3 linked regions of the Drosophila melanogaster genome follow. The protein of the gene in region 1 interacts with the protein of each later gene in a pairwise test. Each region holds a gene or a part of one and is shown on either strand. Other genes may lie near its edges. The genes, in order: LSm7, CG8204 and SmD3.

The links.
Region 2: the proteins of LSm7 (region 1) and CG8204 interact in a two-hybrid assay, tested with the Drosophila melanogaster proteins (one large-scale study listed by BioGRID).
Region 3: the proteins of LSm7 (region 1) and SmD3 interact in a two-hybrid assay, tested with the Drosophila melanogaster proteins (one large-scale study listed by BioGRID).

What each region holds. Positions count from the first base shown.
Region 1 is NT_033779.5:16,740,422-16,746,091, reverse strand, and holds LSm7 (uncharacterized protein), read left to right. Parts: upstream 1-2,991; 5' UTR 2,992-3,031; coding exon 3,032-3,046; intron 3,047-3,105; coding exon 3,106-3,423; 3' UTR 3,424-3,466; exon of another isoform or gene 3,467-3,649; 3' UTR 3,650-3,777; downstream 3,778-5,670. Other genes in the region: BuGZ (Bub3 interacting GLEBS and zinc finger domain protein), read right to left, coding at 985-1,402, 1,707-1,968, 2,025-2,332, 2,528-2,562; ChLD3 (chitin and LDLR binding deacetylase 3), read right to left, coding at 3,867-4,145, 4,204-4,726, 4,788-5,520.
Region 2 is NT_033778.4:15,571,388-15,577,170, forward strand, and holds CG8204 (uncharacterized protein), read right to left. Parts: upstream 2,605-5,783; 5' UTR 2,347-2,604; coding exon 2,279-2,346; intron 2,224-2,278; coding exon 2,063-2,223; intron 2,005-2,062; coding exon 1,802-2,004; 3' UTR 1,757-1,801; downstream 1-1,756. Other genes in the region: CG30466 (uncharacterized protein), read left to right, coding at 291-1,370, 1,426-1,539.
Region 3 is NT_033778.4:12,166,186-12,172,429, reverse strand, and holds SmD3 (small ribonucleoprotein particle protein SmD3), read right to left. Parts: upstream 3,700-6,244; 5' UTR 3,554-3,699; coding exon 3,235-3,553; intron 2,873-3,234; exon of another isoform or gene 2,706-2,872; coding exon 2,569-2,705; 3' UTR 2,427-2,568; downstream 1-2,426.

The sequences.
Region 1 (5,670 bases):
TGCTTAAGGGTTTCAAAAAAACGGGGCTGAACCCCAAATGAAAAAATAGAATTGCAGATTGTAAGCTGCTGAAGTAACAAAAATTGACGAACAAAAATTACTAGATCATATCAAGAATTAAAGTAATCATCTAATTTAAGATTCCCTATTTAAAAATGAGTTTTTAGCCTGCGCTTGATGTAAAAAACGCTTCCTAAGCGTGTATGGAACCGACTACATAGATTTCTAAAACATACTAAGCAAGCTGGCTTCAAACCTGCCCCTATGATCCAATTAAATCAGCCCACCCGCTATAAAGAATTTCACTATTTATCAGTGGGCATGTGAATTGCATTTCAGCTGCTTCCGCTTTACCTTTAAGATACAAAACTAGCACATGTGTTGGCATATCACATTGATGGAGATTACTTTTAGGGCCAAGACAATGCGAAACCTTGCTTTTCCCTTCTATCGAGTTCTCTATGTGTTGAGGTAAAATGTTTTAAATCAAATTAATTAAATTGAAAACCGCCGTTTCATTTGTTTTGTTGCCATTAATTTTTTTTAATTAAAAATTGTACAGACATATATCATACTATATGCTAAAAAAAGTTTTCTTTTCTTTTTAATGTTGTTTCGTATTGTGTGATTCTCGTAATCTGTTTGCTCTCGTACGCTGTGGTCGTCTAAACGTAACTTCCGCTGTCGCAATTTGCGATCTGCGCAGAGTAAATGTATAAAAGTGTCCAGTTTGGAAAAATGGAATTCTGTTAGAATGCTGAATGCATTCTCTTAAAATGCAGTCGAAATTGGGTCAGGTTTTTTTATGTGCAATTACATTTATTCTTTCATTATTTTTCTTTTTTTGGAGGAAATTGTCTTTTTTACACGTCCTCGTTTCAGTCCGTTGTGCTTGTCATTTCCTGTTAATCAGTGGAAGTCGTTTCCGTCACGGTCTGTTTATTTATATTGACTATGGTTTCTATAACTATGATAAGAACTCACTTCCTGGGCCTTCGACATGGCTGCGGAGACGACAATCGAGTTAGCCATGCCACTGCTGCTATTGCTACCCGTGGGCGAGATCCCGGCCAGCGACGGGGGCGGCGGAGTGGTGGGAATCGACGTAGAGGGGCCACCATTGTTGCTGGGACTCTTGCGACTTTGTGGATTCGCCAGTGAAGCCAAAGCGGCCGCCAACCGTGCTTGTATTTTCGGTTGGCGCGCGCGCAATTCTTCCAGACTCAGGTCCTCCTGTGGATGCATAATCTTTGTGGTCACAGCAGCAGCGGAAGTTCCGCTTGCCGCCGGTGGAGCTGGAGGTCGCTGCTGGTGTTGCTGAGCATCTGGCGGACCACTTGGTGGTGCGCTGGATGCGCCACCAGCATGATTGGTGGTAGGCGGAGCACTTATGGTAGCATTACTTTAGCAAAAAGAAGAAATAATTGATTTACGTTAGTTAAAAACAAATTCTTAGGATTAAGCCTAATAATAAGTCATTTGACTTGCTTCACAACTATGTTTAATAGGGGAAAACCATTAAAAATGTGCCAATGTGAACAATTATTTGGAGTAGAAAGTATTTCACCTAAAATACCCCCAAAACTGAATTTACATACGAATCGTTTAAAAAAAAAAGATTATTAACAGGGCTCTACGTCTAACTGCTAGCTTTAGAAAAAAAAATTGGAAGGATTCTTATATGGTCTTCCCCTAACGATGCTAACCTGTACGCTGGAAATGTTGGCTTTTGTTGAGCCATGGCGGCGGCGTGGTGATGATGGGCCGCCGCCGCAGCAGCTGCCGCCGATGTTGTGGCCATGGCGGCTGGAAACAAAGGACGCGGAGGCATCATGTGCGGCATCATGGGCACTGGATACGGAGGCAGTGGCGGCATGTGCTGCATCATGCCCATGCCGTACTGCCCCAGCATGTGCGGTGGCATCATGTTCGGGGGCATCATCATAGGCGGCGGTACACTCATGGCATCTGCAATGAATGTTGTATAGCGATTTTGTATACAATACAGTTTGCTGATCACTTACATTCTACTTTCTTTTTGGCCACCGGTTCATCATCGTCCGAATCAGACTTGCCACCATTCTTCTGACGTTCGTGATCCCTGAGATCCTCGGCGGGAATGCCGTCCATGCCAAAGATTTCGACTTCAATATTTGAGCGATTGGGCAGCGAGTTGGGGACCTTGTCCACCGTTTCCTTGTGCACCTGCATGCAGTGTATGGATAGTCCGGGTCCGGTGTACAACTTCTTGTGGCAGATGTGGCATTTGAAGTGCTTGGCCTTCTGGTGCTGCACAAGGATCTTTTCGTCATCGAACTCACGGTTGCAGTACCTAGTTTTTTGCGTTAAGAGTTAAGGAAAATTCACGGGGATGCGGCGTTGTAGCCAGTATGCATATACATGTGTGTGTGTATCTACCCCCAACCCAATACCATTATATAAATGTGTGTGTATGTGCAGATACAGCGAGCGGCACATGCAGTGAAAAAATATTTATATCTTTGTTTTGCGAAAAGGATACCAGCACCAGGGTTTGGAGGCCTTCTTCTTCTTGCGTCCCATGATCCTAAGGTGGCTTTAAAACACTTAAATGTACAAAATCGATCCGGTAATTGGTAGAAGATAACAATCTGTTGTACTAAAAATTGCTCTGTCGTGGAAAACAAAATGGAGAGCCAGTCAGAGTGACCAGCATATCGATACAAATAAATGAATCTTATCGATATCTTAAACCAATATAATAATTATTATACAAATAAATTGATATGTTCGCCTCAATAGCAAAAGGTAAGAAAATAATTTCACAATGATGACAGTAGAAATAAGAGAACTTTGTTGTCATATTTTTCAAATAACATTAATTCTTACATATGTTTATTCCATTATTATCGATTATGTACCTCAAAAAGCGCGGCCCATAAGATTACTTCACCAGCGCCATCTGCTGGCTAGTAGCGCCTTATTTGGTGTATTTCTAAAAAAATATGCTTTGGTCACTCTTTACCAGCCGGCATTTACCAAAAACAGAATAATGGCAGATAAAAAGGTAAATTAAATAGAATAACTACATTGTGGTGCTTAATCATCAAAATCGTGACTTGTCAGGTGGGTGGCAACAATGACGGTAAGGAGAAGCGCCGCAAGGAGTCCATTCTGGACCTCTCCAAGTACTTGGAGAAACAGATCCGCGTGAAATTCGCGGGCGGCCGCGAGGCATCCGGAATCCTCAAGGGCTACGATGCGCTGCTCAATCTGGTGCTGGACAACACGGTGGAGTATCTGCGCGACTCGGATGAGCCCTACAAACTGACCGAGGAGCAGACCCGCAGCCTGGGACTGGTCGTCTGTCGCGGCACAGCCCTCGTCCTCATTTGTCCGCAAGACGGAGTCGAGAGCATCGCCAATCCGTTTATAACGCAATAGTCCAAGGTTTTGTGGCTGGGATGCGTTCCAGAATGTAGACTAAGTACAAAGCTCTTTTGGAAATCGGTTTAAATATATTTAGCGGAGACATACATACGTATAAATTAGTTCTTAAAATCTAATCAGGCCGCAAAGTACCACGTTTATGAGCCCGCGAAATTGTTTAAGCTTCTCCATAAAATTCAGAGTGTTCCGATTTTAAATTAATGCACTTTATCCTCTTCAGGTATGTTACGAAGTTATCTACGGGTTTGCTTACGGTCAGATTTTGAAAGCTGAATCATCTAAATATGCGTAATCCAATTTATAAATATTAATTTTTCTAAACAATTAAAACCTAAAATTGTATCAATCTTATCCAATTACTTATGGAACGCTCCAAACATTATGGATATATCAAAGCGCCTTGCGCAGAGCCCTATAGTGTCAAGCGGGCTATCACCTTAGTCCAAGCCGAACTCGTTGCGAATCCAGGGATACTGGGCAGGACACTCCATGCAAGTGTAGAAGAATCGATCCTCTTGCAGCACCCGACTACGCACCTTGCACACATTCGGCGTGTTGCAGACCTGCTCGTGGGGATCCAAGTCCTTCGGTTGGCAGTGCCAGGACTCGAATTGGTGCAGCTGGTTGCTGGGCGTGGGATGGCGCATCCACTGAATCGCCTGCTGGTTAGTCACGAAGAACACATCCGGCAGCTTTTGCAGATCGTCGAGGAATTTCTAAATGATCAGGAAGGAATGAAGATCTAGTATTATGGGTAACAATTCGAATATTCACCAGAAATGCATTCAGATAGTCGACTTTCTTGAACCAAGTCGAATGGAAATACAGGCCAAATGGTGCCCTATTGCTGAGGTAGTGCCTCTTGAAGTTGTGCGTGAGCATTCTGTACACATCCTCGCCGCTCAAATGCGGCGGACACGTGTCCACCATGCCGCACATATACTCGCCCACTTCCAGTTGGTTCATAACCAGCTCCCAAATGCCCGGATAACTCCTAGACGGGCAATTCTGATTTACGCCCGTGCAGCTGTGCGGCATCTTGTAGTCCAAGGTGTAGGGCCACAGAGGAGGATTCGAATGCGGCGCAACCATGGATGAATCGTACACGAAGCCAAACTCCTTCATCATGAGAAACTGTCGATTCCAGCCGACGCGCAGAAAGGGTACTCTCATGCCACGAATCTCCTCCATTCGTACCGCTGCGAACTTATTGATTATATTCGCCTGGCCAACCATCTCATCGAACCAATCCTCAATTGTGGCATTCTTGGACCACCACATCTCTGGGCCACGATGCCTTTAATCAATAAAAGTGAAATTTCAATTTTAAATAATTTACAGGCTGATCAACAACTTACGTTACTGAGTGCACTGCGATCTCGTGACCATCGTTCCAAAGCTTCTGCACATACTGATAGTTGGTAAACGGATGTGAAACGTAGAATGTGCCCTTAATGGGACACCCGTTGGGGTTTCGCCTGTGCTGTGTGAACAAAACCTTGGAGAACAGCTCCCAGTTATCGTGATTGATGGCATCGTCGAAGGTCAACAGTATCATCTGCGGAACACTCTGTGCCGGAAGACTGCCGGGTATCTGGGTGCCATCCTTCGAGCAGAAGCACTGCGGCAAATGGCACTTTCGCGGATCACAGGCACCAGCCGCATTCGGATCGTGCTCCACATCGCACCAGCCTTCGTCGGAGCCGTCGGGACAGTCTACCGAACCATCGCAGAAGTACTCCTGCGGCAGGCAGGTACCATCGGCGCAGCCCAACTGGTATTCATCCGCACAGTCGGCCATCTCCAGTAGTGGTTTTGGAGCCGGCGTCTCCGCGCTGACATCGCAATTGTCCACATTCGCCTTGAAGTCGCAGATCTGACGCACCACATCGAAGAGCAATCCCTCGGAGCACTTGAATTCGAACACCTCACCGTCGAGGCAGAGGAAATACTTGGCGCACTCGCTGTTCGTCCAGATCTTGTGGACCGGCCTGTTGGGGTTGCGGTAGAAGCGTGCATCTTGCATGCAACTGGCTGCGCCGGAGGTCGAGCGACGATGCCGAGTTTGGTTGCCGACTATTCCATCATTGTCTGCAAAGCAGGCACACAAAAAAAGAAACTGGGTGTGAGATAGCCGTGTGTAATTAACAAGGAGACTGATTACTGATTAATGCATTGACCCAAAAACGAAACCGCTCACGTCAGCCCAAAATTAGCCGCTTGCAGAAATATTTTTGCTTT
Region 2 (5,783 bases), on another chromosome or scaffold:
GGGATTCGTGCGCCTAACAGCACACTGTTATTCGCTTACAGCACGCGGTGACTAACCAACATCGCAGCTGACAGTCTGCTGTCACCAAAAATACTCAAAATTAACAGATATCATTTTAAAAATGTTGATAAAACTTTTGTTATAATTTTATTGTTTTATTTGGACTCGATATTAGCTAAACATACGAATATAGACCGACAATGATAAACACCGATCTTATGGTACCGCAATGCAACAATATAGCAGAAATATAAGTATACAAGTTTCCTAATTTCTTTTGCCCTTTGCAGAATACCAAGCCTGGCTTACTATGTCTGCCCGATGATGTTCTAATGATAATTCTAAGTTATCTCGACTTGAAGACCCAACTAAAACTGAAAGACTTTCATTTCCGGTTTAAGAAATTAATGCCGTATGTGTGGCGTGCTTATAACAAATGTGCATATATATCCTTGATTGAAATGCAGCTGAGCGACAAGGATTTGCTATTCTTCCTGGAAAGTACTCAACAAATCCTCAGCACTCTGCGGCTCAAAATGAATAATAGATCTAACTTCGAAACACTTACCAGCTGTAGTTTTCCAAAACTTAAAGATTTTCGATTTTCCACGCATTCGTTTAACTTAAACGATGCGGACGTGCCAAGAATGTTGAAAACTTTTCCAAATCTGACAACTTTTAGCCCCCATGGAAAGTTTACTGGCAAACACTTTGATGAATTCGAGTTTCTCGAGAACCTCACGGTCTCCTACTGCAGCAAATTCAATGTCACCAACTTGATACAGATCCTGAAAACCAGAAAAATAAAATCCCTGAAGCTGGGTATCTTCGATATTGACCAGATTTCGAACACAGAACTGCCCTGGAAAGGGATTAGAAACCTAGAGCAGCTGCAGTGCTTCCAGGAGGAAATGATGGTGTGGTTCCTATCGAAACTGGAACGTCTAACTCACTTGAAGAAGCTATTTCTTTGTGGTCACGTTAGATACGGATTTCTGAGAGAGATTCTCATAGCTGCGAAGAGAAGCACTATAAATATGATCGAGATAAGCCAAAATACATCCATATTTTGTGAAACTTACGGTTTAAATGTGGCTATTAAGACCCTAAAGGTGGCTAATTTTGGTATGCATGCGTATCAGCATCTTCACATTAATGTCAATGAATTTTATATACAAAATTCGGTTTGTGTGGACGAAATTAAGTTTCATACCTTAATACAAAACCTAAACACACACGAGGTCCTGGGTATATACCATTGCACCTTCGGATTTAAGGAGTTCACATTCGATGCGAAGAAACTGGGAGAAAACCGTACCACAGCACTTAATATTTATGTGGAACTAAACACGTATCTCATGTCTAATGAGGTCTAAGTATTTCACAACTTATATTAGCTTTCGTTTCTAATATTTTTCATTACAGGATCCCATCCCCATGACCTGGAAAGTGCAAGGGGAACATAGGCTTTTCAAGTTGCACATGAAGCATCCAAAAATCACTTTTAACTCGGATCCAGTTTCAATTTACTTTGATTGAGTTTGATTGCCAAGGAACGAAGCTGTAGACTGATGACTAGTTTGATATGCCAGCTGAGATAGATAACTTTAAATGGCCGAGCCAAATAATTAGTTGTACGTTTTCCCTGGTTATGGAAAAGATTCAACCTTACCGGCGGATTTCAATGAGAAGTTTCCAGGAGTTCTTCAATGCAAGCTCCTCTAGAAGCTGCCAAGGATTGACAGTACTATTAGTTACAAAATAAAGGCTTAGTTTTATTGAGACTGTGTGTCAACTTAATTCAGGAGTACAACTCAAATTCAGTGCGCTCAGCATCCGTCATCGGTTCGACGACTTGAAGGCAGGCATTAGCGAACTCCACGAAGAGTGGCTCCTGCATGGCGGCCATCATGGCCGACTGGGCATTGATGGCCACATCAATCTGCTGGAGCAGCGAACGCAGGTGTGGATTGTGGAGCAAATTACGCAGTTCCTGGCAGTTTTCTGTACGGAAACCATCATACTATGAGAAATGTGTATAATTGCGAATTTAAACACCTACCTAGTTGCTGGAGCTTCTCCGCGGCAACTGTGTCGTCGGTGGGGAAGGGCACATGAAGCGTAGGTTCCTCCTGGTAGCCAACTTCAGTCTTTTTCAAGTCGGACTCCCTTGTCGCACATTGGGGCGAATCCCTGTGTGTCTTATAACAAGCCACAGAGCAGCTACATTTTGCGACATTTATTATCTCCGTAGTGAACTGTTCGAATAGCTACTTACTAGGGTGCCGAGCATTTGCTGCACTTGTATTTTCTCAAGTTATCTACGCAAATAATGCATTTTTCCATCTCATCAAATTCAATGTCGCGTGCAAAATAAAACTCAGCTGTGCGAGTTTTATAGCCTCCAGCTTTTGCCTCTATCGAGGGTTCCAAGCCGTTTCTGCTCCACTGGAACGGCGTTATGTTTTTGGAGGTAAACAATCAAAAAGTTAAATGCAAAACGCAAGCAGAATAATATTAAAATGCGCATAAGATCGCGGGGCTGCATGTTAATTTAGTGAGAAAACAAAACTAGTGGAGTTCTACGACGAGTGTGTTGAAACGAATCCCATAGCTTAGTTAGATTGTTCTGTAGCTGCCAGCCTTCGTCAACAGATGAATTCTATCTTTGGCGCCATTACTTTTAATTTGAATTTGAACAATTTGCTGGAACAAATAAAATGTTCATCATCAACATTCAATTTTGCTCATCATAAATAAGTAAATACTTTATATAGTCAGAAAGCTTCAATCTACTGTATCTGTATCTCACTGACTTACATATTGAAAACGTTTAAAGATTATCCACAGGTATTTTAGTTATTAACCATACGATTAGCGGAGTGTTTGGTCAGATTGAGGAAGACATAGAGTCGTCCTGCCCTTTTCCGGTTACGAATAGCCTTATTTGATTGAATGTATCCTGTGTATCCGGTCTGTTTGCTTTGGCCAGTCTCATTTATGGGCCATCCCGGGCACGTCATCTTCCGTGAGGCTTCCGAGCAAACAAACGAGGAACGCTTATCATTGCCCTCCCATTTTTCCGCCCCAAAGCCTCCCAATCCTTTCCCCCCGCCGCCGATGGCAATGCGCAGTCTGAAGCCACCTGGCGAATTAACCGAGAATTCGACAAGCGCGAGGGGAGCAATCAAATGACGGTCGGCGTGTCCGCAAATTGTAAACATATCCTGCACACGGAACGTACTGAAACGGAACGGTCCTTCCCGGGAAGGAGTCGTTCAGATCCGCTCCAGCTCCAAAGACAAGTACAGTACAACCAGAAGTAAAAATAAGTACAACAGTGAGGCTCGATTGGTTAACCGAAGCATGGAATGCCCTTTGTTATTAAGCTTTCTTTCTAATGAAAACGTGTTATGTGTATGCACAATATATAGTCCTAAAAAGTAGGTTTAGTTGCAAGAGAAACATCTCATTTATATGGCCATATTCAGCTATGAAATATACACATATAGATGTGTGTCATTAAGATTTGATAATAATGATAGTCCTATAGGTAATGTCATTGGGTTATAACTTCTTACAGTCCTGTATACGATAACTACACCCATTGAGATCCTTCGTGTCCTGCTCCTAGTCTGAGCCGTAATAACCTCTGCGAGGGTATGGCAAACAGCGAAAAACTTTTGGTGGCAATAAATGACTTCAATGACTGACTGACTGACCGGATGGGGTGGTCTAGGTGCATGGCTATACTCGTATATGAATCGTTTTTTTTCTTCTTGTTTCTGTTGCCATATTTTGGGGGACTTGTAGCCGGGACTGGTTGTTGTTATTTTCAATCGTTTTTGCTTTGTTTTCTGAGCGCTACCAATTGGATTGCACAAAGAAAAACGAGTGGTACAAAAGAAAGCAAAGGATGCAGGCTAACAAAGAGTTTGGGGATGTGGAAGGTCTGGGGAATCGGGCCGGGTAACATGATGTGGCGCCTCTGCCGCTTCCGCTGTTCGTGAGGCACAAGCGCGATAATTGCCAGCGTTATCCGCTCGGCCTGCCAGTCAAATAGGCGCAGCAGCAGAGGCGCTGGCAAGCAGCGGCTATCGGCGGTGGCAGGGATTTCGGGGGGGCAGGAAGACCCTTCGTGTGACTCGCCTACTTTTGATTTACAACATTCGTGCAACATCAGCAGCAGTGTATCGCCAAAAGGAAAAGGGGCGACCAATGCAAACAGCAAGAAGAAAAGCGAGACACACGCCACCAAATGGGGCGAAAGTTTCTCGCGGGGTGCAGTAGTGGCATTTTCCGAGGGCAGGTGTCGTTCGTTAGGAGTTTTCAGCGTTTTTCATTCCCAGCTTTTCCCAGTTACCAAATACCAACTACCAACTACCAACTACCAGTTACCAGCTAGCCGCCAGCGAAAAAGCCAAAAGCGATATTAATAGATAGCGGCACTTTTCGCTTCGTTTTTATCGCCCGAAAAGCCAAACGAGGAAAACACTGGAAGGTGGAAAAATAAGGGGGCAGATAGTCCTGGCAATTGGGCAGATTGACAGATCATGCAATCGTAGTGGCACAGCGTTTATAGTGCATATAATGAATATTAAATTACATGCAACACATATGGCTTTGGCAGTCGAACTTCCTTAGCGCGAATGTACTTTTTTCAAAAAGGTTTGGTTCTTGTGGAGGCAGTTTTTTATCATACTAACCACAAAGTGTTGCACAGCAAAGGTTTAAATCCCTATAAATATATCTATTATGCAACATGTCAAGTGGAGATTGTATGTCCCATAGATTCTTAATCTTTAATAATGGTTATTTTCCGTATAGCGATGATCGCCTGTAGTCCTTCCAGGTAGTTGGATTCATATTGGGTGATAGCAGGCATGCAAACGCGACATCTGCAAGCATATTCGATTGGAATTCACCGGAGTATTGGAGATAGTGGACTAGTGGGTCATCAAATGGATTCGAAAATAATTCGAAATGCCGAACGGATGCCGGGGAACATTAACTATCAGCAGGAGACCACGATGCACGGAGGGATGGAATGGAAGGGCTGCGAGGACTATATGAATCCCAATGGCTTGTAATTTATAACGCAATCACGTGCCACATTCGACGTCGACGAGCAAAAGCAAAGGCGCCAAAAATATGAATATATATATGAAACGAGAGCGACTAAATAATTTGGAAATGATTTACAATATGACCGGGACGAGAATGGACGGAGGCACAGCGATTCCGGAGGTTCATAAATCTAACTGCATGACGAAAAGATGCAGTCCTAGAGTCCACCGCTTTGATTGATGGCAGCGGCCTGCAAACACTTCGCGCCTTGGCCATTTGTCTTCCGCCGCTGCGGCTCTAGTTGCTCATTCCCGATCCTGCTGCTCCTCCTGCCCCATCTCTTCGAGCTTATGTTGCAGATAACACTGCACATCCTAAGAGGTAGCTCAACTCATTGGCGGAGTTTGATGGAACAGGCTGAGTTAGCCGAATATGGATGTAGAATATTGAAGCTTTAGCTTAAGCTTCAATAGAATGCCTGATATTGATTTAATAAAGTGTATAGTGGGAATTTTGAAAATATTTGCTTTGTATCAATCAAGCTCATGCGCCTCTAAATCCTTTTCCCATGAGTGAAACGGATCTTGGAATTGTTAGAGCAACTAATCGCTGCCTTGGGCAACCTATACTTGTTACATACGCCACGTTTTTATTTTGACTTTGGCTACTCTTTTTTTTTTGTTTGCCGCTTGGTGCCTTAATTAAAAAGCTGCAGG
Region 3 (6,244 bases), on another chromosome or scaffold:
CCGAAGACACATGATCAACGATGAAAGACCAGCCAAAGTACAAAGTGATTACCGTAAGTTACTACACCAAAATATGGCAACACGTTTTTTTTTTTGGCAAAAATGTGCTCACACAGCTAAGGGCACAAAAATAAAACCTGTGTGAATTAAGATTCTGTTTAACTTCATTAACATGAAATCCTTTTGGTTCTAAATTTGTATACATTTTCTATGGAAACTACCTGGAAAATACCAAAATATCAAAGAGCTTGTTTACACAATTTTTTTTGACTTTGTTAATTGAGCTACAGATATTTGTTATTTGTTTAGACTGAAACATATGGAAAGATTGTCAATCAAAGCTGCAAAAAGCGAAGAAGCCTACGTCAGCAATTATAAAGTCCAGTTTATTGTCGATAAATGGTATTTTTATTAGTATTCGTTTGTAGTTATTGAGATGACCTCTGCTGTTCGTTTACATACTACGTATGTATGTATGTACCTGTATACATATACATATGTATTAAGAATAAAGATAACTCTTCACGTTGATTTCTACCCCGCTTTAGGTCCATACCTCTGCTTATATTAAGCAGACTTTTATTTATGGGACTTATCGCCAATATTATTAGCCATTTTTAGCCATTTATTTCGTTTGTTTTGGTACATTTGTTCGAAAAAAAAGCGGCAGACACGTGCAGCCTAAAAAATGTGGTGATGTTTTTGACTGAAATAGCGCCACAGAAAAAAAAAGAATTTCTCTTAGACTTTGTATATTAATTTTTATGGATATTTATAGCCGGCAGCTCTCTCCGTTTATTTTGTTTGCCCATTGCGACTTTGTGAATGCAAATGCTACGTGTGCCGGCATTTTTGCTTATAGTTATTTGCGCCTTATTTGTTTAGCGATTCACCCGTATTTTGTGGGAAGTAGGGGGCTCCATTTAACCTTGGGGCTCTGACTCACACCGCACCCCGATTCAGATCCACATCCCCTGACCGACCGGGTCGACTGTACCCGTGCTCTCCGGCACATTTGCATATCTGTCGGATAGAACTAGGCTATTATACATTTGTATGTATGTATGTACGTGTATGTAGATATATCGTGAGGCCTCCTAGTCGCTGCTACTTAATCAGATAGATAAATGATGCCGCCACCGTTTGGATGTCGTCAGTCGCCAGACAAACGCCCAGAGCACAGCACCACACAGATCATCAGCGAGCAGTCTCCACATCGCCAGTGGAGGAGAGGCACGGAAACCGGGCCGCCACATAACACACAGATATCCAATCGCCACATCTTTTCGATGTGAGTTCCAAGCTCCGCCGAAGGACCGACCGACCGAAGCAACGCAATCTGTGATAAAAGATAAAGAGCACATACCAGGAGACAGATAGTAGACTGCAGCTGTGATAAATCTCAACCGGAGACCAAATATTTAACTTGGCAATGACGACGTCTAGCGATATGGTGGCGCAGCCAGATAACCAGAAGATTCAGAACGAGAACCAGAAAATCTTGTGGTACGTCAGCATAGCCCCATCTTTTTTATTAATTGCGAAAGCATTTTCAATTGCCTTGCACACGTGCCATCGATTCGGGGAATTATTACTCTAACAAACCCCCCCACCCCCAGACACAGCCATAAATTGCATTCATTAGGCATTGAACCACATGCATCCAATCCATCTGCTGCTGCTGGTGGTCACTGTTCCCATTCAGGCCTCTATTTCGCTCAATTCACAATGCTCTGCCAAGTGCGCAGTTTGTTGATTTAATTGGCTTGGCAGAAAGGAAACCAACATAACAACAAAATGCCTGGCATATTTCGCACGTAGTCTGCCGGCAAACAATACACAAATGTACATATGTATGTACAATGTGTGGAAAGCATTTATATAGTATATAGGTATCTGTATGTATCTGTGCTGTCCACATTGAATGTCTGATTAACACCTAGAACGAACCAAATCGAATCCAAATGCGAATAAGTGAATAAAGAGAGCTGTCCGTCGACAGTCCAGAAACTATTTAATATCACTGTCATGGAATTGCTCTCTTTGTATAATATTCGACGATGCGCTGTGAGGCAATGAGACTAACCAAACGACTAAACCCAAGTTCCACATTCAGTTCGTCTGGCCTAACACTGTGTCCTGTCCGTTGAGGTGTTAGCTTAGATTTCCGCTTTCAGATCCTCCGCGAATTGTGAAATGAAGAGAGCTATCCGTCGACAGTCAAGTTAAGACCGATTGTAATACTGTCATGGAATTGCTCTCTTTGTATAACATTCGAAAGGCGACGATTATAAGATCGAATGAATCGAATTGGAGTGCTTAATTTTAAGCCAAACTTGTGAGCGTCCCCCTGGTTATGGTGTCTAATCCCTTCCCACCTTTCAGGTGCTTACTTTACTTAGACAACAAACAACGTCTGCCTCTTTCAAATTCAAGTTTCAAGTGTATTCTCGGCTGCTCTGCCCGATAAATACTTTACAAAAAACATCTGGAGAAGTTCGACCCGCCCGCTAATAATATGATGCCCGCAACTTAGAGAATAGAAATGCGTTGTTCAGTAGGCAGTTCCTACAGGCCGCCGCGTCCTCGACCGCCGGTTGGTCCTCCCTGCCATGCTCCGCGTCCGCCGCTGCCGCCGGGAGCTCCTGGCGGTCCACCAGTGCCCCTTCCGCCGCCCGGAGGTCCGCCTCTTCCTCTGCCACGAGCTGTAAGGGAAATGTCGTTTTTAATAATTGCATTTCGCTGAGGGCCTCACATACACTGCACGACTGTCTTTAAAAACAAAATTCATTTCTAGATTTCACTGCACATGGCTTTATAACATTTTTTTTTTTAGTTTTTGCTTTCTAAAAATAAACATATACACAAACTTACTACCTTAGCATGTTTCTTATTTTACCCATACGTTAATACTTTAAATTTTGAAATTAATGAATTAAATGGGAGGGATATGATTTGACGAAAACTATCAGCTCAGTTTTTAAAACAAACTAAACCCTGCATTAATATATTTTTTGTAGCACTATTTATACATATTAAATTCTATAAATTTTACTACCATTTTTTTTACTATCATAAAAATTGTATGGTATTTGGATTATTAAATTGGGATAGCAAATATTTTAGTTAAATTTAGAAGTTAAACGAGAGCATAGAAAATATTTTGTTTTTAAAGGCAGTCCGTGCAAAAAGTGAATGTGTATGTGTGTGTGTGGGCCAAAGTGCCCAACTCACCCTGTGCGCGCAGAATGGCCGCCTTGCCCCGTCCCGCCGTCCCACCAAGTCCCTTGCCCGTCTGCTTCTTGAACATCGGGGCATTTTTCAGCATGTCGGGCAGTATAAGGAATCGGATCTTGGAGCCGCGAATGTAGACGTTCTCCAGGTTGGCGGTGCGTCCGTCTCGGTAGGTCACCGTGATCTGGGTCATTTGGCAGTTCATGTTGTCCTCCGCCTCGATGAGTTTGCCGCGGTACACCTCGCCGGTGATGGTTTCGCAAGTGATTATGTGGCCCTCGGCCTCGTGCAGAACTTTAATGGGCACTCCGATAGACATGTTCGCTAGCTTGGTGTGTTGCTGTCTGTTCTTGTTCGTTCAACTATATATTTTTCACTGTTTTTTTTTCCACCGAAACCGCTAAATTTTTTCTCCGTTTTTCTTTGTGCAAGCGTTTATGCCGAGTGTTTGCGAGTGTATGTGTTTGCGTGCTCGCTCCCGCTTTGACAGCTGCCGGCGGCCATCTTGTGGTGAAATTGGTGGTGCGTGAGCGCAGGGCTGCATGCGCTGCGTGACTATCGGAAACAGCTTATCGGTTTGCCGATAAGGCGCGCGGGCGTATCTTATCGCTTTAAAATAAACAACTGCAATTTGTTAGCGTCATAAAAGCGAAATAATTAAATTGTCGCCGCTTCGCTGATAAGCCTTTCGTTCTGCCTTCGTGGCCATCAGTTTGTTAGCAGCTTTTGCGACGTTCAGTTACCAATTGAGTTTTACTCTACACCATGTTGTGGTAAAGATTTCGGGTTTATAAATTCAATTCATAATTCACATAAGTAATTTGTAAATGGGAAATAATCTTTATAAAAACATGGGAATATTCGCTATATGCTTGCCATTAAAAAGGGGATATAAACTTTCCAACAGATGGAGTTGCGCTACAAAATCGAACAGGCACATCGCAGTTCGATATGGGGTTTTTTTGACTAAATACCCAATTTTTTTTCCACAGCGACCCAGTGTTTAGTAGTGGCTTCGTTAGAAGAGAATTTAATGACAGCGGAATTGCCGACGGCAAGCTCCGCACCATCTCGACTTCGTCTTGCGCCACGACCATGTCCTCGGAGTCCTACCGCATCTCTCTCGGCGTAGGGCCTCTGTGGTGGTCCTGATGTCCCTGTCCACCACAGAACAGATCACGATAGGGCATCGCTCTTGACGGGTGAGTAATAATAACTAACCATTTAAGTACTTATTATGCTAAAATGTGTTAATTCCTTCCGTGTAGGCTACAGCCGTAAGTCTTCGGTCGACTCGGCTGGTGGCAGCCTGTACGAGGCCAGCTCCCGGGCGTCGTCGTTGTCGTCCTCCCAGTCGGATTGCTCCGACTTGGAGTCGCAGCCCGACATCCACTCGCTGTGCTCGGACGATGACTGCCAGGAAGTGCTGCGCCAGATCTTGCAGCACGACCAGCCGGTGCAGATCACCATCAAGCTGCATGTCACCGAGGACCAGTACACCAATTGGAATACGATTCTGAACCCAGTCAACAACTTGTTGTATGTCGCTCTACCGAAGGACCTTCCTCCGGCCGGCTCCAAGCAGACCTTCATCTCGCTTCTGGAGTTCGCCGAGGAGAAGCTGGAGGTGGACGGCATCGTTATGGTAATGCCTAAAGATCAGCCGGATCGAGCTCGCCTCATCGAGGCGTTCCTCTTCATGGGCTTCGAGCCGCTGTCCAGGAAGGCACCGCAGGCACCGCCGGCTGCCATTAACGACAACGAGAACTACTACTTCCTCTACAGCATCGAGGAGTAGTTCGTCGGCAAGGGGACGATTTTCGCCACAGAAACGAAACAAAGAAGAAGTAATATCAGTAGCAATCCAATATTCTGTTTCGTAGTTTCCGCAAATAACTTTTATTAGCCAGCCGTAGATACAATGACATATTGAGCTCAATATGTGTTCAGTGAAAATCAGCAAATCAATCCTTTTTGAATCTTCGCGTTGTTTATGTAGTCGAAAATCGTTTTGAAAATTGTCTTCGGAGCGGCTTCATTTTTGGTAGACTTTCAATTATGGCCAGCCACGTTAAGAGCCTGATCGCAAATTACTATATTAAACTATATCCAACAACAACAAAAATCGAACGAAAACGTAAAAAAAAGTAGAAAACTAAAAAATGTCAAAAAAAAAACAAAACAAAACAAAGGAATGTATTAATCCTAAGTTTATTCGTGAATCAATATTTTTTATTTATGTTTTCATGTCTAATCAACATATATATTTTCTTCATGTTTTTTCTATATATTTTATGTTTAAGCTTATATATGAAGTATTGTAATCCCAATTTGTTCGCACTTAAAAATATTCAATATATTTTTATTCACTTTTTGTACGCCGAAAGCGACGAGAACGGCGAGGTAGAAGTTTTGAAGGATAGAAAGGGAAACGCATATGCATAGAAGCTAATTACATAGATCAGCAAAAAGGATCCACATACACGCTATATCCAATATTAATAAACTTATTAATCAATAGATTCCACACCGCAAGCAAGCAAGCGAAAGCAGTTCTTTTATTTATACCACTTTGTATGTATCATTTTCTTGATTCCAATAATAAAACATATGACTTAACAAAATTATTGAATTGTCGGCCGGATTATTAAATTATTTCGTTTACGACGCTCGCGTTTAGTGCGCATTATTATTGTTTATTGAAAGTATCTCGAGTGGAACTTGGTCGAGACTTATGATTAAATTTATACACCCAATTGCCTCACCTTCCTTTCGCAGATAAGAGAGATTTTATATGTATTTCGTCTACTGTTTAAAAAGTGACCCAATACGATTGTTAGAGATAAGTCTGCACAGTTTGTCACTTGAAGATAAGTAGTTATTGGAAAAACGGGGGCTCCTAAATTAATAAAAAAAAGCGTGAGATTTGACATCATCGCCAATATCAATTGGATTTCAGCAGTCATTCATTGAAATGAAGAGCCAGTTTAAAAATCAAAGTGTCATGATC